Linked DNA regions of Tamandua tetradactyla. The protein of the gene in region 2 interacts with the protein of the main gene of each other region in a biochemical or structural test. Links are inferred from orthologs where the notes say so. Each region holds a gene or a part of one and is shown on either strand. Other genes may lie near its edges. The genes, in order: CCND1, CRYAB, SNCA and gamma-crystallin F.

Region 1 (7,352 bases), on a different chromosome or scaffold from region 2:
CGGGCGACCGGCAACTCTGCCTGAGGACCCTCCGGGGAGCACACGGTGGGCGCTAGCCCGCCCCTACCTGTGGCACACAGAGCGACGAACGTCTGGGCGTGTTTGCGAATGATCTGTTTGTTCTCCTCGGCCGCGGGCATTTTGGAGAGGAAGTGTTCAATGAAATCGTGCGGGGTCATCGCGGCCAGGTTCCACTTGAGCTTGTTCACCAGGAGCAGCTCCATTTGCTGGGCACGCGGGGTGGAGGGGAGCAAGGCAGAAAGGGGCGCAACGGTCAGCCGAGGGTCCCAGCCAGCACCCTGGTTTGGGGGGCAGCCCTGGGGGTGGGGGTGGGGTGTCGAGGGATCTGGGAAGTGGGGGCAAGGCTCAGGTCAAAACAGAGAAGGTGCCGCGTGAAACGGCTCCTGTTCGCATTCCCATTAAGCCAACTATTTGCAAGTGGAGACAAAAAGACCTCCCACCATCTGGAAGGAAAAGTCCTGATTCATTAGCGGGCGGCCAGCGCACGCCGCCACCGCAAGAGGGCGCGCGCCGCCCATTTACCGGCCACGCCGCGGGGCGCTAAAGTGGGCCGCAGGGAAAGTGTGGTGCGGGTGGGGGTGGGGGTGGGGGTGGCGAAGACTCGGGGCGCCTGGGGCCCCACCGCCTCCTCCTCCTCCTCCTCCTCCAAGCGCAGCTCCGGGACAGTGTGGCTGCCCTCCTTCGGGGAATACGGCCTGTCAGTGCCGGGCGGGGGACCCCTGCCGCCTGCAGTTCACGGGGTGGCTGTGGGTGGGTGAGTGGGTGGGGGACCCCACGGGTACCAGCAGCTCGTCTGGCCGGATGGAGTTGTCAGTGTAGATGCACAGCTTCTCGGCCGTCAGGGGGATGGTCTCCTTCATTTTGGAAGCTACGAACATGCAGGTGGCTCCCAGCAGCTGCAGGCGGCTCTTCTTCACGGGCTCCAGCGACAGGAAGCGATCCAGATAGTTCATGGCCAAAGGGAAGACCTCCTCCTCGCACTTCTGCTCCTCGCAGACCTGCCGGGGTATCGGGGTGGCGGGTGGGGGAGAGTCCGTGATTGCCGCCGCCGGGACGCGCAGGACCCCTTTACCGCCACCCTGCACCCCCACCCCGCTCGCCCAGGCCGGCCGGTTCCCGCGCGCCGAGAGAGCCGGGGCAGGGGGTGGCAGGAGCTCCCCATGATGCGCCCCCTCCCCGGCGTGCCCCGGGCACCCACACACCCACCCCGAAACTGAAAGGGAAAGTCCCTGCGAGGCTGGCATAGTCTGGACACGAGCGGGCAGGGCTGCGGCGCGCGCGGTGGTGCGGTGTGCCCGGCCCCGGGGACCCCGGCCCGCGTGGGGGTCCGGGAGCGCGCCTGGCCTGGGGTCCGCCACTAAATGGGGTGCTGGGCCGTAGAGCTGGGCGCCGTGCTCTCCGCGCCCGCGAGACACAAAGGTGGCGTCCCAGGCCGCCGCGCCGCATTTCCCCAGACGTCATCTTTTCAAAAAATATTTAAAAATATATAAAAAAAAACTGGCCACATAAAACCCCCCTGAAAATGACCCTCAGGCGGTCCTTTACCCAGTCCAGGCTTCGGGAGCTCGTCGCAGGCTCCACAGAGAGCCCCAGGAATTCAAACTCGGGGGCCCCCCTCCCCCTAGGCGCGGGCTCCGCTTCTCTCTCGCGAGGGCAGCACACCGCACTTTCAAAAATTATTTAAAAATACTAGCGGCCCCCTAGGCGTCCCCAGGAGGCCTGAAAATGTGCCCCAGGTCCCCGGCTCGCTCTGGGCAGCACCCCCAAGCCGACACCCAGACAGACGGGGGTCAATACCGGGCATCTTAGGGGCCACGCGACCTTGCAGCCCGGCGTGCTCTCCGGCCCAGGCTGGCCTTGCGGGGCGCCCCGGGGCTCGCCGCCTGAACAAAAGGGGCCCCCTTCCCGAGCGGGGTCCCCCCCAAAGCTGCCAGCGACCCGTCCCCGCACCCCTTCCGCGGACCGCGCGGCCCCTCGCGGCGGCCCCAGCGCCTTGCCGGCCGCTCCCCGCCCCCACCTTCCCCCCAATTATTAATAAACACTTTTGCTTTGCAATAAAAGAACAAAGATGGCGCATAATACTGGCACGGGCGGCCCTTGCATACGTGTACATGGATATTAATTTAAAAATCAAATCTATACCCCCTTTTCCCTGAGCCGGTGGCTCGGGACCGAAGCGGCCGAGAGAGGCGGCGCAGGAAAAGTCGGGCGCAGGCTGGGGCTGCGCGGTGGCAGCCCAGGAGGGGGGCACAAAAGGCGCCCGGCCTGCCCACCCGCACCCTCGGGCTCACTGGGGTGCCCCGGGCACTGACTCCCCCGGAAGGCACCCTTCGCCCGACCCCCCTCCGGGAGGAAAGGGAACTTCTAACGCCCCCACCCCCATTTCTTCCTCGTTCAAAAACTACCCACGCTGTCGATTTATTTGGAAATTACCGACTGCTGACAACACCCCGGCAAACTTCAAAGCCGGGGTGGGACAGTGGGGCGAACAGACGAGGGGCAAAGAAATCTGGGCAACACGTTGCTGAGGAGTCTCAAATGGGCCTCCCCTCGCAGCAGCCACGCACCTCCAGCATCCAGGTGGCCACGATCTTGCGCATCGACGGCAGGACCTCCTTCTGCACGCACTTGAAGTAGGACACGGAGGGCGCGCAGGTCTCCTCGGCCTTAAGCATGGCCTGCAGCACTCGGTCGGTGAGGAGGTTGGCATCGGGATACGCCCGGCGGATGGCCTCTACCTCGCAGCACAGGAGCTGGTGTTCCATGCTGCCGGCTCTGCTCGGCGGCCTGGGACGCGGTGGGCTCCGGGCTCGGCGCGCGCGCTGCGTCTCCTGCCTGCCCCGCGCTCCCTCGCCGGCTTCTGGCCCTCGCAAGGAGCGCGGCGGACGCTGCTGCTTGCTGCTACTGCGCCGACAGCCCTCTGGAGGCTCCAGGACTTTGCAATTTCGAACAAAACTCCCCTGTAGTCCCTGTGACGTTTACTGTTGTTAAGCAGAGATCAAAGCCCGGCAGAGAATGGGAGCGGGAGGGGGAGGGGGCGGGGGCGGGCGCAGGGGGAGGGGGCGCGGGCTTAGAACCCAAAAGCCATCCCGGAGGCGCCGCGCCTGCCCCGCGGCGGAGTTGCCCCCGAAGCCAGGTTTTCATAGAAATGCAAATCACCCCGCGGCCGTCTTTCTCCCTGCCGGGCAAGAGGGGTGCAGGGGGCGCCCGTTCTGCTAATGTGGGTCCCTGGGATTTGGGGGTGGGGGGGTGGGGATGGCGCTGCAGAGGGGGTCAACTAGGAGGGCGGGCAGGCCACACGCAGTCGGGGGAGACCGCATGGAGGAGGGTCTGGGGCTCGGCGACACCCTATTACCGAGCCGGGAGAGCGCCACGAGGGCACCCACGGGCGGAGGGACGGCTGAGCAATCTCGCTTCTGCATTTTCTTTCATTTTCATTAACACGTGTAAATTTCAGGAACTCTTTACCATGCCAGGACGCCGGGCAGGGCGCAAGCCCGGGTTGAGGCTTCTTTCCGGCGCCCCGGGAGGCACTTATAGAAATGCCTAAGAGGGTTCGGTAAAAGTTAAAGGAACCTATCTCAGCCTCGCCTGGGCTCACGCAAAAAAAATAAATAAATAAAATAAATCCCCGAAAATTCCAGCAGCGGCTCAAGATGGTGGCCAGTATTTCCTTCATCCTGTGTCCTCCTGGCCGGGTTATGTGCGGCATTCTCCCACCTTGACAAGCCCATCCTCGCGGGGTCTCCAAATGCCCCCTGCCTACCCCAATTCCGGCATTTGAACAGGGAGATCAGTACCTCTGAATGGAAGGTTGCAAAGCAGTGGTCTCTGTCCTGCCTCATCTTTTTTTTTTTTAATTGAAAAAGAAATTAAATAATTGGAAATATCAATCGCCTCTCCACCCAGGAGACCACCGGAACTTTCTAGTTGCGTTCGAAGGGCAAGTGGACAGCCCCTCACCATTAGAATTTGCCCTGGGACCGCCTTCGTGAGCCTGAGGCGGTGGTCGGCAGGGGGCTGGTAAATCCAGGACAACTGTAAATTTAAAAAGTGGGTGCATTGATTGATGATTTTTTAACCAAACCACGGTTATAACAATAGGGCCCTCCATATCATCTCAAACTGAAGAAAGATGAATCCACAATAAAATACACAAAGTGCTTTTAATTAAGTATAGACCGTCTCTTTGGTGCCTTTAAAAAGAATTTCTCCATCTCATTTTTTTTTTACAGTTTTTACAGTGTGCCTCAAATTAGGAAAATTGTTCATTTACTTCTCTCTGAATATAGCTGAGTGCTGTAAAACCACTGCATCCCTAGCAGTAAAAGCTCAGAAAAAAACGGATGAAGGGGTGCACGCGGCGAGATCAGATACCACCCTGCTGGGCAGATTTCTCCCGCGCCCCTCCCCCCCCATCCGGGAATTAGGGTGACTATTAGGTCGGGTCCTGGGAGGGTAATTACCCGGGCTCACGCCTTCAAAGCGGAGGGTGGACTCAGCACGGCGCACCCTTCGCCGTCCCCCCTCCCCGGGCACCGCCGAGCCTGCAGAGCCACGGCCCGCGCACGAAGGCGGCGAGGCTGCTTTTTCATTCATAAAATCCGGACCCGGCGGCTGCCCGGGTGATTTATGGGGCCGCGCGCTATAGCCGGACAGCGCCCGTCTCCAGGGGCTCGCGGGCTGGAGCCCCCGCGTGCGCCCCGGCCGGGCCCGAAGCGCGAGGCCGGTCGGCGACGGCGACGGGTAGCGGCGCAGAAAAAGGATCGCCCACTCCGGCAAAACGGGCTCCGGGTGCAGCAGGGAGCTCCCCCCTACCCAGCCGGGAGAAAGGCAGAGGAAACGGGAATTAGCATGAGCCAATGGGGGCGCGGCGCTGTTACTAGGCGGACCGGGCAGATCTCGACCAGCAACTTCGTTGAGGTCCCCGCTCAGGGACCAGCGCAAAAGTGCAAGCCCCGCGGGCAAGCGTGAAGAGCCGTCCAGGAACACGCGGGGGAGGCCCTGGAATTTGGGGCTCGGCGGGGAGCGCCAAGCGCCCAGCCTCCATCCCAGTGAGCCCTGCTAAGCGGCACCCCCTGTCTCCCGAGGGAACCAATAGCTCCGAGTCCTGGGGGGTGGGGGTGGGAGTTGGGGGGGGTGCGATCGCTTAGAGGAGAGCCGAGGGCGCGTTTTGATTTTCATTTCTTTTTTTCCGAAGAGAGAAAAGTAACTTTGCAAAAACTTTTCTCCTGCAGTTTCAACTTCTCACTGTCTTTTTAAAACCCACCACGAAGCAGGAACTGCGAACTCTGAACTTGTTTAAAGTGCTCCATGCTTATTTCATGGTGACCATTTGGGAGACAAAGGTCCGGTGGCCCAAACGGGAGGGTAACCAGGTTGGTTTGAAAGAAAATCCAAAAGTAACTTAAGTCGCCTCCCGCTCTCCTTGCCCCCGGGTCCCCCACGCCGTTGACTGCTGCTGGGGCGGATTGCCGGCCCCGAGAGGACGAATTCCGCGGCAGACACGTGTTTGCCACCGTCCCTGGCTGTGGGAACCTCCATTCAGCGGGGGAAGGGAGCGCGTTCATTCAGGAACCGGCGCGCCACCCGACCGACCCTGGGACGCACCGCGGCTGCGCACCGACTCAACAGGGGGCTTTGGGGAGTGGGGTGATGAACCCATGGGAGGGGCACTCGTCCTCCTCCGGGAGGATCGGGAAGGCGGGCTAGCGGGCGGGCGCACCCAGGTTGGGTCACCTGCAGCCGCATACCTGGCGGCGACTTGAAAGGACTTGGCTCTCGCCCCGCGAGTTTTCCATTGTTAAGCCCTTAAGTAGCGCTGTAGAATGCTTCCGAGTGCCGGCCGCGAGGTTCCGGGGGCGCTCGGGCTCCCCTTCTCCAAAGCTGCTCGCTTTGGGGTGCTCGCGGTTGGCCACGTGCTGCAACAGCTCGGCCAGGCCTACGCGGCGCGGGTCCCCGAGCGTCTCAACGTTGCGGGACAGGGTAGCCGTACGCTGGGAACCGGGTAACCGCACCCCACCCCCACCTCACTGCCTCGAGCTGCGGGGGTACGTTTCCGCCTAAGTCTCACACCAGCTCCCGCCCCCTCGGACAACTCGGGTACCCGCCCCCACTCCCCCAACTCTAACGGCCGCGGGCGAGTTGTGCGCGAGTTAAAGCGAACCTGGGCAGGTCACACTGGGGGTCTGGGGCCCAACGACATCTTTGGGATCCCAAGGGAAAAGGTGCAAACTCTTGGGGGGGTCAAAGAAAATTCTACCTCCCTCCACGCCCGGCACCCTGAGCGATAAGAACCCCAAAGCCAACTAGGAACGCCCCCCTCCCTGGGGCTCACGACTCAGGCCCCTGGGCCTTTCCTGGCCAAAAGGGGCGGGGAGTGGGCGCCCAGTAAACCACCTTCAACCAAGGCAAAGAAATCTGGTGGGGTGGGGGTAACGGCCTCGGTGCACCCACACTTAAAGCGAGGGGCGCAGGGCGCCGCTCGGGGACCCGCGGGGGTCTCGGAAACCTGCGGCCGCGGCGACTCCGCAGCGGGGCTTTCCAGGCGGAGGACCCGCGCCGAGCCCGACGTCGGCTCCAAGGCGCGCGCGCCCCGCACCCCGCGCTCTTCCAGCCGTCTTCCTCCTGCCCCAGATCTGGCCCCGGAGCGCTTTCAGCCTCTGCCTCGGCCCCTGAGATGGATGGAGGGGCGGCCGGGGTCGTTATAAGGGGCGCCTCCGGCTTCTGGGGCTTGCGACACTCTTCTCGGACGGGGATGTGGAGGGAGCTTTCTTTTCCCAAGCTCGGGGGCAGGGGAGTTGCAAAGCTAAGGCCTTGCATCCCTCCCCTGGGTTCCCACCGGCCCGCGCCGTCGGGGTCTGGCAGCGGGGGCGGGGGTCCGGGATCCACTAGGGGGACCTGGGCGCGCGGGGCCCGAGGGGTCGGTCGGTCCGCGCTCCGCCCCCAAAACCTGCCGTGGGCCCCACGCAGGGCTCAGTCTGTCGGGTGCCAGCGCTGGGCGGCCAGGCCAGGGTGTCGCGGGAGGCGAGAGCGCGCGCGCGCCGCTCTGACCCGCTTGGGAGCGAGCGGGGACGCGCCTTGCATTCCGCGCATTCCCGCCCGGCCGCGGTTCCCCAGCCACGTGGTTGCCCTGCGCGCCGCGCCTACCGTAAGGCTTGGAGAAGGCGCGCACCCGCGGCTTCCGAGCGCTGGAGAACCTAATGCGTGCGGGCCGCGGACGCTCAGGTCCCGCCTGCGGGCCCAGCCGGTCCCCGCCCCGCCCGGAGGGATTGCTCTTTTACGTACTAAGCAGAGTTGTGCTGCCGGCGTAATAACCTATTGTAACCCAC
Region 2 (7,728 bases):
TACTGACTTGTGACCCTGGTCTAGACCCTTACGGCTTCGGATTGGAATGTTGCCAGCCTCAGAGGTTGATGGCATTGCCTGGCATATAGTAGGCACTGAATGAATGAGCAGAAGAGAAAACAAGCTACATACCTGGCGCTCTTCATGTTTGCCATGCACCTCAATCACATCTCCCAGAACCTTGACTTTGAGTTCCTCTGGGGAGAAGTGCTTCACATCCAGGTTGACAGAGAACCTGTCCTTCTCCAGGCGCATCTAGAAATAGCAAAGTGGGGAGGGGATAATGGAAAAGATGGTAGAAAGACTGGTGCAGTCTCATCATTCTAAAGAATTGCTTTCTGTCCGGCTATTTTAACCGCCTCTTTTCTGCTAAAAATCCCTTTTTTAATAAATAAACATGGCTTTCTGGCTTAAGGAGTCACCACAGTGGTACTCAAAGCATACGACTTGGTCACTTGGTCATCAGGCTCAAACTTTATTTACCAGGACAAGGGAGAAGACAGAGCCACCCAGGGGAACACAATCAGTCACAAGAATGGCCTGCATGGTTTCAGCTGTCTCTCTGACCCCAATGCCTGGCCTTGTCATTTGTTTGTGAGACAAAGGCCCCTTTTTCTTGTTCATAAATCTGCCAAGTTTCCCACCCACTCAATCTGGAATGTTCTGCTGGTCTTGCTTGTCCTTCCAAAGCCCTTGCCCACTCAGCTCCTGTTCACTCACACTTGATTATTTTTAAACCAAGGTATTATCTGTGGCAGCTTTTGTCAACCCTATCTGTTCATCCTTCTCTGACCCTCCTAGGACAAGTGGGGGGCCTCTTCCTCATAAGGCTTGGACCTGGGCCAATGCCCTGCCTCAGCCCTTGAGAAGTCAGGAAAACCACAGAAGAGAGAATAAAATGGAAGAAAATAATAGCTGTTGTCTCCAGCTCCACCCAGTGGGCATGAAAAGCTCAAGACGAGGTAGGACTCTCTCCTAGTCAGGACAATGAGGTATTAGAAGAGGTCAGCAAAGGAGTCTGAAGGCAGCTCTCTCCTTTCACATCATTATGAACCAAGCCAGAGAAGAGACATCCTGCTTAGAAGTTAGGGGACAAAGGATGATTTTTATCATGCATAAAGATTGTGAAAGATTGTACACTAATAAATAGGATGCAGAAGAACATCATATAGAAACAGGTAACTGGGGGAGGGAGATGTTAGTAGCCTCATCTTTCTTTACTATTGGATACTTAGGATATAAATATAATCCAGTTTAAGCACAGAGGAGGAAGAGGAAAGTGGAGAAGTTTCCAGAATATTCTAGGAAGAACTCTCCTGTTCTGGCAGGGAGAGGGGACTCACCTCTGAGAGCCCAGTATCAATCCAGCTGGGTGCCCGCAGAAATGAGGGTGGCCGAAGGTAGAAGGGGCTCAGAGAAGTAGAAGTTGGAAAGAGATCTGATTCCAACAGGTGCTCTCCGAAGAACTGGTCGAAGAGGCGGCTGGGGGAGTGGAAAGGAAAAAAGGGGCGTCGGATCCAGGGATGGTGGATGGCGATGTCCATGGTGACTAGGTTGAGTGTGAAGACTCAGCTGGCTGGTCCGTTCCTTCAGCCTCAGCTACGGCCAGCCCCTTTATATACACAGTCTTGTGAAGCTTCTGGAATGGTGATGTCAGGGGTTTTATTATCCTAGCTCGCCACCCGTTCATGGAGACTTGTGATGGGGATTTGGCAGTGTGACACATAACCAATACTCACTGAGCTAAGAAAAGAGAAACACAAACAGGTCTGAGCTGGCCAGTGACTTGTCCTGGTCTTGTTTCACTGGCTTTCCTGTCCACACCTAACAGCAGCACCCCCACTCCCCACCCCTCATTCTGTTCTCTGGAGCTGGGACAGTGTCAAGAATGTCAGGCAGGCAGTGGTGTGCCCCTCCTCTCTCCTTTCCTCTCCAGTCTCACATGCCAGAGGCATTGGGCCAGCAACTATCTTGGGCCTGGGCAGGCACTGGAATCTTCCTAGGCTGAGCCCCAGGGACATTAACTCTTTGTGGGTCCCTGGAGAAGAGCAGTGATCACCAACATGCCCGTGCCAGGCATCTGCATGGTGCCCTGGGTTGCCCTGGTTTCGGGAGAAGACCCTAATACTAATCTGGGGAGGAAGACACCCACACCCAGCCCCGCACTGACACTACGGAAAAGGTAGAAAAGTTTCTTGCATCTTTCAACCTACAAGCCTCGTAAAACATTAAATCTAGGGGTGCTGTCTGAAGTACGGCGCACCGTGCCTGCGACTGGGGAGGAGAATGGGTAGTGTGGAAAACGTGCAGACTGTTGGCGAGGGTCTCAGCTACGCAGCAACTTGTCCTCCCCTCCCCCAGCCCACTCCTGAGCCAGGACCCCCAGCTGTCCTCTCAGGCACCCTGCGACAGCTAAAGGGTGTGCGGGGGGGAGGGGACTGGGGGTCCGGGAGGCACTAGTCACACACTCGTTGCTCCCACTCAGGGCCCCCCTTCCCGTCCCTCCCTCAGAGGCTCGGCACTATTTTGGGTGTTGTAGACCCCGCCCCCACCTCCGACCGAGCCTTGGCTCTTCAGACAGCTGGAGGGGCTGCACCTCCGACCAGCGCCGCCAACGCATCTGCAGCCATGTCGGGTCGCTCGGTGCCACATGCCCACCCGGCCACCGCCGAGTACGAATTTGCCAACCCGAGCCGCCTGAGTGAGCAGCGCTTCGGGGAAGGTATGGCACAGACGCCGCCCCCTTGCCTCCCACCCCCACCTACTGAAATTCTGGGCAGACCTCCCAACTTTACTGGCCTCCACCCCACTAAGGGCTTAACTGAACTCTTGGGGCGAGCCATCTTCCATCCCAGACTGCTCTACCCGCTCTCCCCCCACCCCCAGTAGGGCTCTTTCTCCTTCCTCCTGACCTCAGAAAAGACATGATACCTGCAACGCTGATATCTTCTCTTTGTCCCCCTTCTATCCACCGTGTCCTAGTTTGGTTTGCCCTCCCCACCCCTATCTCATTTATTTTGTCAGTCCCCTCTCTCTGGCTACTTCCTCTTCCTCCACCTACTCACTGTGTCCCTCTCCCTTCCTCTCCCTATTTAACTCCTCTTCTGGTCCTCCAGTCCCTCCTCATCTCCTAGTCTCCTCTCATTCACCCCCCATCCCCATCCCCACCTCTCCTCCCTCATTCTGACTCTTCTCTTCTCTCTCTGTGCCCCTCAGGCCTCCTGCCAGAAGAGATCCTGACGCCCACCCTCTACCATGGCTATTATGTCCGGCCACGGGCCAGCCGAGCTGGGGAGGGCAGCAGGGCAGGGGCCTCTGAGCTTAGGCTCAGTGAGGGCAAGTTCCAGGCATTTCTGGATGTGAGCCACTTTACCCCAGATGAGGTGACCGTGAGGACTGTGGACAACCTTCTGGAGGTGTCTGCCCGGCACCCCCAGCGCCTGGACCGCCACGGCTTCGTGTCACGAGAGTTCTGCCGCACCTATGTCCTGCCTGCTGATGTCGACCCCTGGCGGGTCCGGGCTGCTCTATCCCACGATGGCATCCTTAACCTGGAGGCACCTCGGGGTGGCAGACATTTGGACACGGAGGTCAATGAGGTCTACATCTCCCTGCTCCCTGCGCCTCCTGATCCAGAGGACGAGGAGGAGGCGGCCAGAGTGGAGTCCTGATTGCTGCAGACTCAGCACCTAGCAGATCCCTTTCTACCTCCTGTGGTGATAGGAACAGCTGCCCACAACCCCAGAGGTAGCAGCATCCTTGGGGGAAGGGATTGGTGCACTGTCCACAATGTATGGTGTGGTCCCTTGGGACATGTCATAGCCTTTGGCTTAGATCTGGGTGGAGCTGAATAAACCCAAATCTCAGGGCCTTGTCTGTGCTGCTCCCTATTGTGTAGCCTGAAGGATGGGATGGGCAGGGAGGGAGGAAGTTATAGCTAACTAGACATAAAGCTCTTCAGATAGATGTACCCAATACAACAGCACCCTGAGCTCACACTTGGATGCTGAGATCATAGCCGCAAGCTGGCACTGGCTCTAGATCAAATTCCTAGCCACAGTTTTCTCACAATGCAACAAAAGAGATTGTGATCCTGGGACCGAAAAAGGATATGCCATCCAAACAGCCCAGAGGGCACTGTCTGAGCTGGTGATTAGAGACACAAAAACTAGGGGTCTCCAGACTGTCTGGCCCTTTTTGGGCAGGGGTTAGGAAAACAGTGACTGGCTAGAGAGAGTTGCGGAAAGCCCTGGGATGAATACTTTGTTTTTCCATACTAAGATCTGTCTACTAAAAATGGCTTCTGATTCCGAGGGACTGCCAGTACATACACAGGGGCACAGACACACAGCCTCTACCATTTCACCAAATCCTAAGGTCTTCCCACTTTTTGCACAGAGGAGGCCCATAAGAGAAAGCCTTGGTCCCCAAACTTGGAACATTTCAAAAGAGAGGCAACACTGCATCATCCCATTCAATCCAAGTCAAAATGTAGGGAATCTAGAGCCATTACTGTGATAGTGGTGACTCCCAGGGAATATCTCCTTGGAGTCCTACAACTAAGGGTATTGGGTATTCAGGAAATCCTAAGGGTCTAACCCCTCAGTAATTCTCTGTAATGAAGAGAGCATACATGGATATGATTTGGGGAGTGTCTAGAAGAACTTTCCTTTACCAAACTCTGGTGGATACCTGAAATTCTTCCATTAAAGTGGTGGTTCTTAACCTCTGGGTTACAGACCCTTTTGAAAACCTGACAAAAATTGTAAATACATACCCTTTTCCCAGAAAAATACAGATACTCAAAATTTGACCTACAATTTGAATAGGTTCACAGAACTCTTGAGATCCATTCATGCGTTCATGAATATACTTACAGATATACTTCTCACTTGAGAAATTCAATGATTGATTAAAGGTTTGCCTCAGAGAAATAACTATTTATTGATTCTTTTTTTTAATTCATTCATTCAACAAATATTTACATTACCCCAAGTAATAAATACACTATGTGAGTTATACGTTGCAAATATGAATTATTTTAAAATACGGTCTTTTATCGTCTATTCTCAGGAATCTTAACATCTAGTTGAGAAGAAAAACAATTTTAAAAAAGGTCCTTAGTCAAACTTCAACCAGAACAGTTTTGCATTGATCTTATAATTGGGGTGTTTACATGTTCCTTATTTAAAAGAATCCTTAGCTGGGAAAATTTTGAAAACCCGATTTAGTCCATTTGAATTCTTTTCAGTTTTCAGTCAGCTTCTGCTGGGACATTTTGAGTGATAGAGAATGTAGACCTTTATAAAGCGACCCACTTTATTTGGGGGGACATATCTATTACAAATTCTTCCCTCTGTTGAATTTCAGTAGTTTCTGCCCATTTGTTCCGGTTATTTCGAGAATATAAATACTATCCTTCTTTTATTTGAAAGTTCTTCAGATATTTAAAGATAACCATCTTTAATGTCCTCCTAATGTTTCCCTTTTCCCAGATAAATATACCTAGAATCCTATCTAATGGCAAATTCCATATCAGTTACTGCCAAAGACAGCCTTCCCTGACAAACTGTCTTTTGATGACTTGAAATTCAACTTGAAATTCAGCATCTAGATCTAAAATTATTCCAGTCATGGACTGACTGATACAGAATTCAGTGGAATAATCAATGCACTTTTTTAGTATCTCTAGACTTCTATTCATGCTGGTTAAGGTGTATCAGATGTTTTGACTACCACAACATAGTATTAGCTCCTTTGGAGTTTCTGGTCATCTAAAATACCTTAGATGCTTTCTTTTATATTACAGAGGATGTGGCTGGAAAGGAAACAGATTGAGAAGGGCTTCTGAGTGCCAGGCTAAGAAGTTTGAACTTTTTCCTGTAGAAACCATTAATGGCTTCTGACCTAGGTGGCAACAGGATGAAAAGAATACAGTTAATGGCAGAGTACACAATAGAGTACACAATAGGGGAGATAAGAGGCTAGTGATCCAGGCACAAGATAATAAAATAAGATGCTTTCCATCTGACAATAAGCTGAGAACAAAAAGTAATAATAATACCTAAGATTTCCTGAGATCTAGAGCTTTATACACATCATCTCATTTAATCTTCACTAGTATCCTATAAGGTTGTCACTTTTAGAGGAGAATATGGATAGGAATTGAGTTCAGACTATGCCCTGTGTAGAGTGTAATGCTGAGTCCTCATCATCCATAAGGGGCACACAAATAACCGGGCGTCTAAAGAAGATACCAAAGATGGGGGTGCGAGCACTGGAAATAAGCCTTGGGCGTTTCAAAAATTCTAGAGTCCATGTTTTCTGCAGAGGAATTTGCATGACGGCATCCTCACTGCTGGTAAGTGTGGAGGGAGTTCAATTTTGGATCCTTTGAAGGAGAAGCTGGGTTGGGGGTTAGGTGGAGATTCTGTAGTTCTATACTGGGGATGGGGAAGTGAGCAGTTAAGAAGTGCTGAGGCCAATCCCATCAGAATCACATGATCTTAGACCAAAAAAGGGATTAAATAACGAGTTCAGCTCTTCATTTCATAGTCCTAGGAACCTAAACCTTGAAAGTTTAGATAATATGCTCACATTAATTCTGACAGCCAGGAAGAATATAAAAGGAATCCATTTCCCTAAATTCAAGGTGGTAAGCCACTCCCGTATTCAAACCCAGATTCTGGACAGGAATAATAAGATACCGGCACCAATTACCTTGACAGAGAAACTCAATTAAACCTGGGTGGTGCTAGGGAAACCTAAGGTAAGATTTAAAGACAGTGAAATGTAGTAGAGAAGTATTTCCAAAGGAAACTCGGAGCCCCTTTCTATCCCAGGTTTCTTTTCCTTGAAGCTTGATGCTCAAAGTCTATGGCATCACCAAAGAAGCTCCAAATCCCTAAAGTGGGATAACTCTCACCTGAAGCTGGGTTTGGGTTGCCCCACCCTTTGGTTGGGAACCGAGCCACCTGGGAATCCTTCCAGCAGGTGGCTTCCGAAGTCCAACCTGCTAGGTTGAAATCTGACACCCTCCACCCCCACCGCCCACCCCTCCCCCCACCCCCGGAGCTGCCACTGAAAGCTAGACCGGGAACCAGGAAATGCAAAAGCCTCTATATTGTAGGAAAACAGCTGGGCTCCTTCCGAGACAGCGCACCATGGGAAACCAGATCTGCTGTGGGGGAAGATGGTGAGTAGGGGTTAAGAATGGAGGGTAACATCTCTGATGATGGACACAGAGGTCCCAAACTGAGGAAAATACCACCCCCTTCATTACATGCATGAGCAAGAAAGAGCCGGGGGCTGGTTCTCTGTCACCTTTCTCTGCCTGGCACCTCCTGGTTCCAGCACACAGGCACTATGTTCACTCCTTTCAGGAGAGCTTAGAAAACATAATAATAGTAATAATAGCAGCATTTAAAAGTTTACTAAGTGCCAGACACTTTACAACAACTCTAAAAGGTAAATGGTCATATCCCACCCCTTCATTTTATAGCTGAGAAGCTGAGGCTTAAAGAAATAACTTGCCCAAGATCACGTGGCTTGTTAAGTGAACCCAGATTCCAACCCAAGCTTGTCTGACTGTAGAGTCCAGATTTTTAACCACTACATAGTACTGCTTCTCAGATCAAGCAAATCAACTTTGGAGAAATGTTCATTAAAAAGGGCAGAAGTGGGTGGCCCATGGTGGCTCAGCAGGTAGACTTCTTGCCTGCCATGCTG
Region 3 (7,100 bases), on a different chromosome or scaffold from region 2:
TTCTGCTGGGGATCTCAACTCTGCCACATGAGAGCTGGGTGATCTCAGCCTCAAAGTTACATAATAAAACTTAACTTAGTCCTCTGTTATGATTGAATGATACAGTGTGTTAGTCTTTTGCAAAGCAAAAAGTACCATATGAAGGCATGGAATCATCTTATTTATAAAAATGCACACACAAAAAACCACCCCAAAATAATTCTACCAGTGGTCTGATATAGGCCCTAAAATACTTATCATTTTAGTCACTCCTTGACTTAATATATCAGTTCTCAGTATGTGTCCCTGATAAACTATAAATATGTCATATGAAATCATATATAAAATAAGTATCATAATAATTTATCATGGTAGGTAGCTATGTTGAGTCACAGTGGAAAATGTTTATTGTTGGCAGGGGAGGTCCCACAAATGTGAAATTGACTATGAATGGTCTTGCATGCTTTTGGTGAGGGGTGTCTTCTTGCAGGACTTGGGAAAGCAGAGAACAGAAAGGGGGCACCAGTTTATTGTGTTACTAAGATTGGCAATTGCTGACAGGGTAATTTTTCTATTCTACCATTCTACATGCATATCCACATGCTGCATTTAAGGTTCACAGAGCTTAGTTGAAAATAAGATTTAGGATTTATACTTCAGAAAAGAAAAGACACTTTTCAAAACGATTCTTTACAAGAGGGTGATTGATTTTAATCTAGATTTTCTATCCCTTTATTACTTGATCTGTTTTTTTCTAAGTGAGAGAGAATAAGGCTAAGTCAAACAATGTTCTGGTCAATTACAGTCATGATTTAACTCTGGCATAAGAAGATAGAGCCAGTGTGTTGCAAGTGAGCATCCACTAAGACCCCTCAGAATCATCACAAAGCTAATGATCTGGCCTTAAAGGATTAATTTGGGGTGTTCTGATTCACCCATCCTTCTCAGCTCTCCTCTGGAGCTCTATGTCTGGCATCTGACAACTTTCAGGGCTGTCTGAATTCATCTGCTTGTGTCTTAATGGAAGATACTATCTCCTTCTCCATCTCCTCCCCACCTCACCTTCAGCAACTTAAATATGATATTCCCACACTTTTATTATTCTTTCCTTCCCCATTTTATTCTTATGTTTTATTACAGAGATCCATTCTCATATCTGATTCAAATTGGTATTTGCTACAATAGTACATTGTTTACCTTTGATCTTAGACATCCATGACCAGTAATGACCAAGGGAAAAAGGTTGAAGCTATCACATTCTAAGTCCAATAAGTTGTATACAAGGAAGGAAGGAAGGAAGGAAACAAGGAAGGAAGGAAATTTATTTTTAATTAAAGTCAATCCTAACAGAAATCTGAAATTGAGAATTGGAAGAAACAGTGAAAGAGTATCAAACACCACAATGAGATGTGGGTTACCACTACATTCCATTAAGGTGGCTAAAGGGAAAAAGATTTATAACCCAAATGTTGGGGACCATGTATAGACCAGAACTCTCACACATTTCTGTATGAATGTAAAATGGTACAACTACTTTTGAAAATGACCTGGCAGTTTCTTAAACATACATTTACTGTAGCGATTCCATTCTTATGTATTTACTGAAGATAAATGAAAGCAGGTGTCTGTAGAAAGGCTTGTAAAGAAGCTTCATAGCAACTTTATTCATAATTTCTTCAAACTGGAAACAACCTGAGAGTCCATGAACAGAAGGATGGATTAAAATACTTGGTAATATTAATGCAATAGTGCTTTGCAAAGCATAAATTATCATATAGAGGTGTGGAATCATGCTGTTATGAGACGCACGAAAAGTAACAGCTGCCCCCAAATAACTCTCCCCTTCATCTGCCATGGAGCCTATAAAAATCAACCAGTTCCAGTCATTCCTTTAATTTAAAGCATTAGGTCTCAAGAAGGTCTCTGTTAAAATGTAAACGTGTCATCTCAAATAATTGATGAAATCATTATCTTAATAGTCTCTCAAGAAAAGTCACTGTGAAAATCACTTTTTATTGGCAGTCATAAGGGAAACAATAAAAGGCAAATAAAAGAAACAAATTTCTGAATGAAGTTTGAATGAACCTCACATACATTATGCTGAGGGAAAGATGATAGATACAAAAAAATTATCTTGTATAACCTTTTATGAAATTCTAGACTATACACAACTAAGAAGGGGCAAAGACAACTTTCTGCATCTTCAAAATGGTGTGGATTACACTAATGCAGAGATTTTTCAAAACTGGTTTAAAGGAACACTTAAGGTCTGAGCATTCACTGTATGTAAATTATACTTCAACTTAAAGAAGATCATCAAATGTCATTGTTATTTTTAATAGTTCTTATATTTTATGGAAACATGCTGAAAGATTTACAGGTAAAAAAATTTATATGTAATGCCTGGGATTTGCTAAAAATTGTAAATATCAGGACAGAATGGGTCTGAATTCCACTGAAAACTGTGGGAGTTGTGTAATAGTCTCTACCTGGGGATACAGCTGAACATTTTCCATAATAAAAAAAGGTGAAAAAAAAGGGATTATCTGTGTTCACCTCCTCATTATATAAGAGAGAAAACTAGAAACAGAAGGAGGCAAAACCACCCTTAAGTTCTCAAAGCCTGGTTACAAACTATCTCCCAGGTGCAACCTTCTTTCTCTGTATCCAGGAAATACAAAATATATGTAACTGTTTTTCTTGAAAGGCTGCTTTTAAAAACGGCACACCAATAATAAGCCCTTACGTATTTATGACCTCATACTTACTTTCTTCTCTTCTTTTTTCTACCGAACACGCGTGATTATATATACATATATATATATATAATATTCACACATATCGTTTGCTTTCTGTCCTTTGAGATTTCAAATGATTGTTTCTTGATTGCATTTCGAGAACCCAAACGAGGCAAGGATCAGAGAAATCTTTGTTTCTATAAAAAAAAAAACAGCAAAAACAAACAAAATAATTAAAAACAAAAACAAAACCATATAGCGAAGACTTGTTTTTCCCTTCCAGGGCTGAAATCATCCTCCCAATCCCAGCAAAGGAAAGCAAAGACATTCTGCTGAGGGAGGAGCTTAGTCTACTGTGATCCAAGAACAGCTCCCCCCTCCCACCCCCAGCCCCACCCCCGCCCCAGCTCTAGAGAGGTGAACATGTATTAAGCGATGCAAACATTGTCTTGCGGCGCGCTCGCGTTTGTGTGTGTGTGCACGGGTACGTGTCAGCTCCGACAGCAACAAGGACCAGAAGTCAGAAAGGTGTGTGGTGCATGAAGTCTCATCTTCAGAAGGGACCGAAGAGGAAATTGGATATGATGGTCCAGCAGGGCACACCAGGCAGCTTTTGTTCCCTCCATCCAGATACTTGGGTCTGGAAAGTAAATCCCACTTCAAAAGCGAAAAGCTTGTGATCACTGGTTTTCGACGGCTGGGGAATATTTATTCCTTGTGCCAGTGATGGGAAATTCAGCGTCTGGCAGCCTCTGATTGGTGGAAAAGAAAATGGTGATAGTGGGGTGGGAAGACGATTTGACAAGCTTCCTCCTACCTCAACCTGTAAGTCTTCCTTAGTCTCATCTCCGCTTGAGGGTCCTTTCAGGCTCCTCTGGGGTTGGGAGCAAACGAATATCTGAAGCTATTTGAACAAAAGCAACCGCTGGTCAAACTTAAGCTCTCCGAGGGAAACGTGCTCTCGCAGGTGCAGATATAAGCATCTTTCCTAGGCTGCCTCTCTCCCCAAGAGATTGACTCGGACTTTGGTGTTCTATCCCTTAGGCCCCCGGCTCCCGAGGTTGGATCTGGCGAGTGGGTCCCCAAGAGGAATCTTACAGAAAGGCAGAGACAGGGGAAAAGGGCGAATGGAAAAGAGGGAGAGACATTAGCCAGAGGCCAACCGCTTCGGAGCCTCCCAGTAGTTCCGGTGACCCTGTACTTGGGGTGAATCGCACTACACCCTACCTTTCCGCCTTGCAGGACCAGGCGGGCCGCTTCCAGTTGGAAGGATAACTCCACCTTTCCCCAACCCCCCAACGCACACACAAAATCGAGCCAAGTGCACGAGGCAGGGAAAGCAGCGAGCTCCGGGAGAGGGGCGGGGAGAGGCGCTGACAAATCAGCTGTGGGGGCGGTGAGCCGAGGAGAAAGGGGAGGAAGAAGAGGAGGAGGACCACGCGCCAGAGAAGGGGGTTGGAGAAAGGGGGCGAAGGAGCAAGCGCGGCGACGTAGCAGAGTCAGGTATGTGCTAGCTTTGGAACGGTCCCGGGGGACCGAGCCCCGCCTTTAGCATCCTTCTGGCTCTCTCCCGCCTTCCCTTCCGACCCTCTGCTGTTTGTTTCTGAGCCTCTTGTGCTTGGAACCGGGAGTGGCAATTTGACTACAGGTTCGCGAGTTCGCCTCCCACGCCCCCAGCCTCTTGTCGCTGGGTTGTGCTGACTGCAGCCTACTCTGGGGACCATCCCTCTCCTGGTGCCGCTTGCGCCCTTCCTGTGCGCTCCGTTTCCTCTCTCTTTCCATTTAAATAATATGTGGGAATTGTTTAGCTAGAATAATAATAATAATAAAAATTTAAAAGCAGGGGTTGGAATCAGAGTTCAGGAGAAGTGTAGGGGCTCAGGTAAGTTCCTGTAGCTCTAAACGGGCTGGGAGCTTTAGGAATCCTGGAGAAGACCTGGTGGGAAAGGGGTGACGTTACCGTGGACGCCTGGGACCGGGCTTGGTGCCAAGGTGAGCACCGGCTGTGTCAAGTCTCTGGACCGTGGATGGGTTCTTATTCCTTTGGTGAGCTTGAGGAGAGTAAGTTGACCTGGCTTTCCACATGATTTCCATATTCACCCTTTCTTCCCAAAGGCTGAGAGGTCCGGTCGCTTCCTCGCGGTACACTTCTCCTTTGGGAACCGCGAGGATGCTTGTTGGAGCGTGTGCACCCAACTTTTATTTCTCTTACTTTAAATCCCTCAGTCTGCCCTCTGGGTTTCTCTTGTAAAATAAGCAAGCTGTTTTGGGCGAATAATTAAATGGAAGTGCCGGGAGGGCAAATCAACAGGTGGTAAGGGATTAACAGGTGCGTGTATTGGCCTTCCCAGCCCCAGCCCGCCGGCGGGTTCGCGCTGAGAACGGTCTCTGCCGTGGCGCTCCTGGGTCGTGTGCCCGCGGGTGTGAACGGCGCCTGCTCTGGGCTGATAGCTGACGGTGGGGGTGTATGGTCGGGTAGATTAGAGCGAGCTGTTGGCCTGAGGGTCAACCACACCCAAGTGAGTAGTTCCCTTGCCTTTGCTCCCCAGGATCAATTTGGCAGTCCGCTTCCGACATTCATTTTAAGGATTCCCTCAGGCGCCCAGCTTCCAGCTCCGTTTCTTTTCCTGTGGTCTTCTAAAAGTGCTTGTAACTTAGTCACGGTTTTTTTGAACCCTGGGAAGTTGAAAGAGGGTTATAGCCTTTCATGCAACTCCACTTCGGAAAAGCTGTAAGGGCAGCTCAGATGATTCATCCTAATCCATATTTAGACCCAACTAAGCGAGATGGATAAGGGATGCTAAATATTTAAAGCAAAAGCTAAAGGGCGGTCTTGTCCGATGGTTGAAATGAGTGCACACTTGAAAGTATCTCACACTGTGGGGGAGTTCTGCTAGTTTTTAAGTAGTTTTACCTTTGGAGGTTTGAATTTTGTTTTACCAGGATGTTCTCATTCGAGGTGTATTTTGTTTCCTCTAGTGTGGTGTAAAGGAATTCGTTAGCCATGGATGTATTCATGAAAGGACTTTCAAAGGCCAAGGAGGGAGTGGTGGCTGCTGCTGAAAAAACCAAACAGGGTGTGGCAGAGGCAGCAGGAAAGACCAAAGAGGGGGTTCTCTATGTAGGTAGGTAAGCTCTCAATGCCATTTTAGTATTTATTCATGACCGATGGATTAGGATGATTGATACTGTAAATGCTGAAAGGCTGGTATGCTTTGCTTGATTCATGTTTGCGTCATCACTTGTGAAAAGGATGAACTTAGTCAGGTATGAGTGGGTAGGTAAATGTGTATTTCAGCTACTAGTACAAAATGGAGCTAATCTTTTGCTTTTCCTGATTATTCAACTTCACAATAATATTGAAGGTTTTTTGTTTCTTTTCTAAGAAATGAATGTTTTTGTGAATAAGTGATTATATTTCAGATGACAGTTTTTAAAACAGCATCTTTAAAAAATCAAGAATATCCTTAAGAAACAAAATGATTTATTTTTGACTTATCCTCATGATTAATCTTCCTTCAATTTTTGTATTATTTTGATATTAAAATATGACTTTACTATGGCCTCAGATAGGTGAAAAAGAGACCTACTATCACCTCAAAATAGAAAGGACAGATTAGTCTCTCATGAAGTTTCCCTTTGTAACCATTTGGTAGACTGGAAATTAAGAACCTAAGAAAATACTTGAGTGTTATTATTAATATCTCTGAAACATAAATATATTTTATTTCTCAATTGACATATAATAATAAGGTTGATCCTTATCACCTCTGCTTGTTCCTAATTCCCACAGTGGAGTTTTCACCCAGACCAGAACCCTCATTTATATATAACTAGGAGTGTATTAGGTTGAGTCTTATTTTATAAACCACTTGAAGTTCTTTTGGGAAAGAGTGATATACGAGGCATTCACACACTCACACTCACACACACACACACACACACACACACACACTGCCCATTCTTCCTCTCCTCTTAACACTCTGCTCCTGTGAACTTTTCCACATTCTTCAGTGGCAGTTAGGACAGCTTTAGCCACAGGATGAGCCATAAAGTAGAGGATGAATTTACTGAAATTTATATCAGATTTTTTTTTCTTATTGTTGCTCATAGACTCCTTTCTATGAAAAATTACTTTTTATTCCTCTACTTTAAGATATATTTTCAGGAAATCATTGCAATAAGGAGTGTTACATGAGAAAAAACCTTGAATGAGTTTAAGTGTTTTGTGAAGTGTGAACTACATAACTTTAGGTGAAATTTGCAATACTGAATAAATGACACACAGATTATAGGTACCTTTACATTTGCCATAAATTGCCCAACTTGTGCAAGTGCACTGTAGTAATTTTGGCTTGAGTTACTTTATAACTTTAAAGATTT
Region 4 (7,332 bases), on a different chromosome or scaffold from region 2:
GTGGATACTTGGAAAAGTTCTGATTTATAAGGTCTCAAATATTCAACAATACTAAAACCTAAGTAACAAATACTTATTATAAAGTATTTATTTCATACGTGGTACTATTATAAAGGTTTTACATATATTCACTCATTTAATTCATATCACAACCCGATAAAGTGGAAACTATTAGCCCTGTTTTTACAAATTCGGAAACAGAAGCAGAAGGGCCAGCAACCTACAGCTGGTGAGTGGATTTGGACTCAGGCACTAGGAACCTAGAACCTGTGGTAACTCCTACCCCATAATGCCCTTTCCAGGGATAAGTGTGAGGAAACCCATCTTATTTCTACATTTATTTTCGCTAAGTCCGCCAAGAAGCCTGAACAGAAAAGAGGACTGCATATTGCATGAAACACACAGGAAATACTTTATTAGCTTCCCGATAGAGAAAGAGGTAGAGTAAAAATATTTCAATAGAAATCCACGACCCTCCTCAGAGAGCCCACCCTGGCAGTCACGGCCCCCCAGTCGTGGTACCGCCTGTAGTTCCCAGGGCTCAGCAAGTACTGCCGTCCCCGGTAACTGGGCATCTCGTAGAGGACCCAGGAGCCTTCCAGCACGTTGAAGGAGTGGAGCTCACTGAAGTGGAAGCGGTCCTGGAGAGAGGAGCAGTCCTCGGTGAGCTCCAGCACCTCGCCTCTGTAGTCCTCTCTCTCATAGACACGGAGCCTGTGGGAGCTCGTCTGTGGGTTCCGCAAAGGCAAATGAGGAAACGTCAGAAAACCCGATCTTATTTTAGCAACAGATCACACACCTTCCTAGGAAATTAGCATTTCTTTATGTTTGCTATAGCAAAGGTGAATGAAAGACTTAAAAGAAAGAGACCATCAACACCAGGGCTGCTATGCATAGTTGCGCAGGTTGTACACTGCACAATTCACGAGGGATCATTAACATGATATGAATGGTGCACCCTAGAGTTTCTGATGCCACAACCTGCATAGACGCTATGTGCTGGCCCTGTTCAGTATTATTTTATTATTATTATTATTTTTTGCATGGGCAGGCTCTGGGAATCAAACCTGGGTCTCTGGCATGGCAGGTGAGAACTCTGCCACTGAGCCACAATTGCCCCCAGTATTATTTTTAAATAATGATTTTTATGTATTTTGTTTTGCTCTTTCCATCAAAAATACATGGCGACCTAGAGCTCAACTTGGATGATATGAAATTATTTAAGTATAAAAATAAAAAGACAAATGGATCCCCCGAAAAAAGCATTTTGAATCTCAGTTACATTAGAGGAAGCCAGGGGGAGAGGAAGTTGAATTGCTTTCCACAAAGTGAGGCCACAGATTGGGGACAATTCAGGAAGAGAGTCTGCCCCAGGCAATCCCTTAATCCCTTCCTTTATTCTTTAAACCTGCCACTCTCAAATCCTGAAAAGCAAGAATGTTTCAGTTTCAGCTCAAATTTATGCTCCAGCAAATCTGTTTTAGGTAATAAGCAGGAAAAAAAAAGGCAATATAATATAAATATACTTGTGTAATTTTAAAAAAATAAGCAAGATCAGGAAGGAGGCCTACACAAGACGAAGAAAAACAGAAAGCTAAACTGTTTGTCCTGAACAAATTCTCTCTCTTTTTTTGACCATTTGTTTTTTCTTCGTCTTTTTGTTCTTTCGTAGTAGGTACTCATGGCTCAATCTCTTCCTTGTTATACTATAAAATCCTTCTTTAGGAAAGGTTCTCACAAGCGATTCATTCTGAGGGATAAAAAAACCTGCAAATAAGGGATCGCACATTTGAGCAGTGTTCCACGGTTTACAAAGAAGTCTCATGAACATTATCTAATTTGATCTTCACAACAGTCGAGCATATGCAAAACAACCATTATAAGTCTTATTATTTTTTTTTATGAGTAAACGCATTACTAGAGTGTACAATCTGTAATTACAAGAGCCAGGACTTGACAGTTGGAAACCGGGGTTTTTAAGCTCCTATGGCCAGTCTGGGTCCTATTAACTATTAAACCCTCTGAGTGGTTTCCAATCGTCACAAATGCAGTGCATTTTCCATAGGACGTTTTCAGAATCCATTTGAGAATCTCTAAGAGGGAACATCAGGTTGATGGGGCTTTATTTGGGTAGCAGGAGCTTTGTGGGAGTTACTGGAATCACATTGTTAGTTGCTCGTTTTGTCTAATCAAAAGGTAGGCGGAGGACCTTCAGGCTTATAACAAAGTTACTACTTAGGGGAGGGGGTGGCTCCCCAGGTGCCAGGAACTCTCCTCTCCTCCCCCTCTCCTCTCCTCCCCCTCACCACCCTCTCTCTATATTAGCTACTCTTATCCGCCCCACTTTACAGCTGAGGAAAGTGAGACAAAGCCTAAATAATCAACTTCAGGCCACTGGATGGTAAGGAGTTAATCTCCTGTTTATTAATCCGCCCCCCGTAGACACTCTGAGCTAATATACCCTGCACTGTTTATTCCCAGTAGAAGTCAATTTAATTTTAGCAAAGTAAATATTTTTTTCAGTGGAGGAGAAACCCTGGAGATGTTAATAAAGGACAAGAGAATACAGTAGGAGCCAGAAAAAGATCTACCATCCTGCCGCTTGTGGTATGACTAACACATCTGGAGAGCTGGCGTGACTCGACAGCACAGAAAGACCCGGGTGGAGCTGGACTCACGTGGGGGATGAGGCGGCAGGAGCGGATGGAGTCGCTGAGGCCCATCCACTGTTGGTAGTCGGGGTACTCGCCGCGGCGCAGGAAGTACTGGCAGCCCGAGAAGTTGGGGAGCTCGTAGAGCATCCAGCAGCCGCTGTCCACTCGGATGGAGTTGCAGCGGCTGAAGCAGGGCTGCAGGTTGGAGTGGTCGCTGCTGCACTCGTAGGCGCGGCCCTGGAAGCCCCGGTCCTCGTAGAAGGTGATCTGCAAGGACAAGGGGAGGAGAGGACTCAGAGGCCTGGCTCCCAGGCCCTGCTGCTCCCGGGGCCCCCACGCTGGCCTCACCTTGCCCATGGCTGGTTGAGCGGACGATGGAGTTCGGTGTGACACGGATCCCCGTGCGCGGGGTTATGTAGCAAGGGCGCCTGCTGCGTTGGCAAGAAAAACACAAAAGGGGCCTGCGGGAGTGAGAACGGGATTTTTCTCTTTCTCTCCTTTTTTTTCTTTCTTTCTATTTAATGACTGTGGGGGTTATATTGTACGTGTCCTCTTAGACTTTCCAGAGCTTTCGAATTGATGACCCTGGTTAAAACCTTCTCTTGGTGCTGTTCAGGCCTTTTTGGGAAGCTTATTTGGGAAATTGGGATTTAACAAAGGCGCTTAACCAAGTTGATGATTGTAATTAAATATTTTACTTAGCTTTTTAAATTTCAAAATAATGTTTTTAGAATAACTCACATTTGGCAAGTCTGAGGTCAAAATGGGCTGAAGCATAAGGCATTTCAATTACAAAACTTTTGGGGGTATGTGTCAAAATTTAGAACATTGGAATGAACTTGCCTTTTCGTTTAATGTAGGATGAGATTTTCTCTTTCGAGAGAACCTCTCGATGACCCTACCTGCATATCAGCAAGCTGCTTCCTCAGTAACACCTGCAGAAGGAAGAGAAGGTGGTTGGATCTGGAGGAAGCCCTGTTTATTCTGACATCAGGAGATTGAGGGGCCTGGCCTTAGATACTTCCACCGCACAGCCAATGATATCCTCAACTTTGGAATATATGAAGTGACTCATTCACAATTCTTACTGACACTTGTAACTTTCTGCTTAATATTTTTGCTAAATGCTAAGTTTAGTTGCTTTGGCTACTGAAAGATTCAAGTAAAAGTGTGAATATAACAAAATTCCAAATCCCACAATCGTGTAAAACTTCTACCTTTTCTCCCTTCACGATCTCTGGGATAAGCCTCGATTGCTAAGGCTCCACCCAGCTCCAGGGACTGGAACTTCTTTTCTCCCCCAAAGATCCTCCCAGCAGCTCTTGGTGCTTTTTCCACTCCTTTTAGTAGCAGGCTTTCTCAACTATGGTAAGATTTTGAAATTTTGGGTCAAGAAATTCTCTGTTGGGTTGTCCTGTGCACCATAGGCTGTTTAGCAGCATCCTTGGTCTCTGTTCCACTACATAACGTTAGAGCACCCCCACCCCCACCCAGTAGTGACAATCAAAAATGTCTCCAGACATTGCCATATGTCCCCTGGAGAGTGAAGAAGAAATGTCCTTCATTAAAAACTGCTTTAAAAGAAGCTAACCCTCAACTAGATACAACCTTGAGACTCCCTATCTCATTCTTTGGTTTGGATTCCTGCTACACAAACCTAATAACTTAAAAATAGCTTTCTCTGAACAAATTTCATCTGATCCATAAAAGTTTAATAAGCCTCAGTCACAACTCTTGCTTGTAAGAACTCTAACTTCTATAGAAATTTTGGAAACTATAGAGAAGTAAAAAAGAAAAATAATTAAACCATAGTCTCATATAAAAACAAACCATTCAGAAATAAGTGTGTGTGTGTATGTATACACATGCGCATACAGAGAGAATGAGCAAGAGAGAAAATGCAGCTTTGAATTATCCGATATATTTCATTCAATTCCTGGTTGGTTGTTTGAAATTGCTTCATAGTAAAAATCTGCAGGCTACTTGGTATAGACCCAGAAGGGCTGAAAGCAGGGATATGAACAGACATTCGCTCAATGATGTTCATAGCGACATTATGCACAATTGCCCAAAGATGGAAACAATCCAACTGTCTATCAACAGATGAATGGATAAACAAAAGTTGGTATATACATATGCTGGAATATTCAGCTATAAGAAAGAATGAAATTCTGAAACGTGAAAATATAGATGAACCTTGAGGACATTATGCCAGACACAAAAGGACAAATTTTGTATGATCTCACTAATATGAACTAATTATAATAGGTAAACTCATAGACATAAAATCTAGAATATAGAATGAGGCTAGAGATTGGGGAATGGTTGCTTAATATGTGCAGAAATTTTAACTAGATCGAACTTAATGTTTGGAAATGGATAGAGGTGATGATAGCATGTTATTGTGAGTATAATTAACAGTAATGAATTGTGGGTGAATGTAGTGGAAAGGGAAGAGTCATGTATGTCACCAGAAGGAAAGCTGGAGGTTAAAACATGGGAATGTATAACACAGTATATCCTGTGGTGGACAATGACTGTAATTAACTGTACAAATATAAAAATTTCTCTCATCAACTAAAACAAATGTACAACACTATTACGAGGAGTTAATAATACAGGGGTGTATGAGGAAAATGTATCTATTGCAAACTATGTGCAATAGTTAACGGTAATATTCTTTCAACAGTGACAGACGTACCACATCAATACTAGGGGTCAGTAGTATAAGAGGATAAGAGGTAAGGGATGTTTTGGGTTTCCTTTTTATTCTTATTTCTTCTCTGGAGTAATGAAAATGTTCTAAAATTGATTATGGTGATGTGTGCACAACTATGTGACGATACTGTGAGCCATTTATTGTATACTTTGGATGGATTGTATAGTGTGTGAATGTACCTTAATAAAATTGCATCAAAGAATCTGTAAGGTAGAACTGTCATTACTTTAACAAGAATCTCCCTAATTCCATAATGGAAAATCAGTGATTTGGGAGCGATGAGTCCTGGATTCTACTGCCACCTCTATTATTGACTGTATGACATTAGAATTGAACCTCAGGTTTACCTCCATAAAATGAGTTATCTGCACTACATGATCTCCAGGCCTAAAACATGTTATGGTTTCACTGTTCAATTTTTTTTTCCTCCATTTTTGCATCAGGGAACCCTTTAAGTCTCCATTTAAAGTTCTGACAGTCTTCCTAGAAAAATGCATATATAGTGTATAGCAACCATAAATGTATTGAGCTTCAAATAACATAACATTCAATTATAGTGAATTAAACAGTAATGGGTTTCTTTTACTCCTGGTACTCTGAAATTCTTTTTCTTTTCTTTTTTTTTTTTTACATGGGTAGGCACCGGAAGTCGAACCCGGGTCCTCGGGCTTGGCAGGCAAGCATTCTTACCTGCTGAGCCACCGTGGCCTACCCGGTTTTTTTTCTATCTTTTTTCTTTTTCTTTGGTACTCTGAAATTCTCATGGTCTTTCCCTCATATTGGTCACCTCCTGGTTGCAAGATGGCTGAAATAATCAGCAATTGTGGAATCAGGGGCAGCTGTTTCCTCTTCCTCAGGAAGGTAAAGCTTTTCCAGAATTATCCCTTGCCCCTCCCTGACCAGCATTCTTACATTTATGTTTCAGTGGCTAGAAGAATGTTGCATGGTCACCTCAGTGGCCAAGGATTTGACTAGAAATCTGTGAACTCAACTTTTGCATATAATTTTAGGAGATTTGCAAATATTCTGAAGCCCATCATGGTGCCCAGGCTTAGAATCCCTTATAAAAAGTGGGTCCTGTCACCTGAGACTCGAAGTCAGAGCACTGAAGCTATGAAAATCAGCATTACCCCATTCAGCAACTGTTTAAAAAGCTGAAAAAGTGATCAGACTTCATCTAGAGATATGAATGAAGCTGATCTGGATAGGACTAAGGTAAATTTGAATACTGGGTAAAGGATGATATGGCCCATATTTTCATACTTCACCCTCTGGGTGAGATAAAAGGAAAAGATGTTTATTTGGTGCAAAATTTATATTTTGGGTAACACATTATCTAATTTAACTTGTATGGTCAGTTTACTTGAACACCATAAAGTATATGGAATCTTGAATAGGGAGTGAGATCTTTTTGGTGTGTACAGGTTAGTATGATGTCCCAGAATATCCCAGAGTAATTTGCACAGAAAATAAACATGTATGTGCAAAGTCCGCTTGGGGGACTGGGAAGAAAGGAAGATATATTCAACTTCCCCATCTGGGAAATTCCTGATATTCTCACAAGCAGTGGGGACAACCAATTCAACAAGCTGAACCCTTGGTCTTGGGGCTGATCCCTATGAAGCTTATTCCTGCAAAGCTTATTCTTACTGATAATTATGCCTAGGATCACCTCCCAGGGAACCTCTTTTGTTGCTCAGATGTGGCTTCACTCTCTGCCCTCCCCTCTAACTGGGACATGACTCCCAGGGGTGTAAATCTCCCTGGCAACATGGGACATGACTCCTGGGGATGAGCTGGGACCCAGCATCAAGGGAATAAGAAAGCCTTCTTGATCAAAAGGGGGAAGAGAGAAATGAGACACAATAAAGTTTCAATAGCTGAGAGATTTCAAACAGAATAACCTGGAGGTGAGAATATCAGGAATACATGGATATCCCTTTCTAGTTCATGAAGTAA

Evidence for each region.
Region 1: of the proteins of CRYAB (region 2) and CCND1, one has a biochemical effect on the other in vitro, tested with the Homo sapiens proteins (2 studies listed by BioGRID, with this or other methods). The link is inferred for Tamandua tetradactyla from reciprocal best matches to the Homo sapiens genes CRYAB and CCND1.
Region 3: the proteins of CRYAB (region 2) and SNCA form a complex in vitro, tested with the Homo sapiens proteins (4 studies listed by BioGRID, with this or other methods). The link is inferred for Tamandua tetradactyla from reciprocal best matches to the Homo sapiens genes CRYAB and SNCA.
Region 4: the proteins of CRYAB (region 2) and gamma-crystallin F form a complex in vitro, tested with the Homo sapiens proteins (3 studies listed by BioGRID). The link is inferred for Tamandua tetradactyla from reciprocal best matches to the Homo sapiens genes CRYAB and CRYGD.

The regions. Positions count from the first base shown.
Region 1 is NC_135335.1:4,930,164-4,937,515, forward strand, and holds the start of CCND1 (G1/S-specific cyclin-D1), read right to left. Parts: upstream 3,021-7,352; 5' UTR 2,787-3,020; coding exon 2,589-2,786; intron 1,020-2,588; coding exon 804-1,019; intron 228-803; coding exon 68-227; intron 1-67. UniProt on the Homo sapiens protein: Regulatory component of the cyclin D1-CDK4 (DC) complex that phosphorylates and inhibits members of the retinoblastoma (RB) protein family including RB1 and regulates the cell-cycle during G(1)/S transition.
Region 2 is NC_135334.1:29,334,030-29,341,757, reverse strand, and holds the start of CRYAB (alpha-crystallin B chain), read right to left. Parts: upstream 3,011-7,728; 5' UTR 2,932-3,010; intron 2,723-2,931; coding exon of another isoform or gene 2,629-2,722; exon of another isoform or gene 2,512-2,628; intron 2,183-2,511; exon of another isoform or gene 1,926-2,182; intron 1,812-1,925; exon of another isoform or gene 1,744-1,811; 5' UTR 1,545-1,743; coding exon 1,344-1,544; intron 256-1,343; coding exon 133-255; intron 1-132. Other genes in the region: HSPB2 (heat shock protein beta-2), read left to right, coding at 2,629-2,722, 3,217-3,671; C8H11orf52 (uncharacterized protein C11orf52 homolog), read left to right, coding at 7,107-7,195. UniProt on the Homo sapiens protein: May contribute to the transparency and refractive index of the lens. Has chaperone-like activity, preventing aggregation of various proteins under a wide range of stress conditions.
Region 3 is NC_135350.1:36,700,798-36,707,897, forward strand, and holds the start of SNCA (alpha-synuclein), read left to right. Parts: upstream 1-4,089; 5' UTR 4,090-4,220; intron 4,221-5,300; exon of another isoform or gene 5,301-5,448; intron 5,449-5,696; 5' UTR 5,697-5,721; coding exon 5,722-5,842; intron 5,843-7,100. UniProt on the Homo sapiens protein: Neuronal protein that plays several roles in synaptic activity such as regulation of synaptic vesicle trafficking and subsequent neurotransmitter release.
Region 4 is NC_135329.1:183,592,218-183,599,549, forward strand, and holds gamma-crystallin F, read right to left. Parts: upstream 3,012-7,332; coding exon 3,003-3,011; intron 2,922-3,002; coding exon 2,679-2,921; intron 729-2,678; coding exon 456-728; downstream 1-455. UniProt on the Homo sapiens protein: Crystallins are the dominant structural components of the vertebrate eye lens.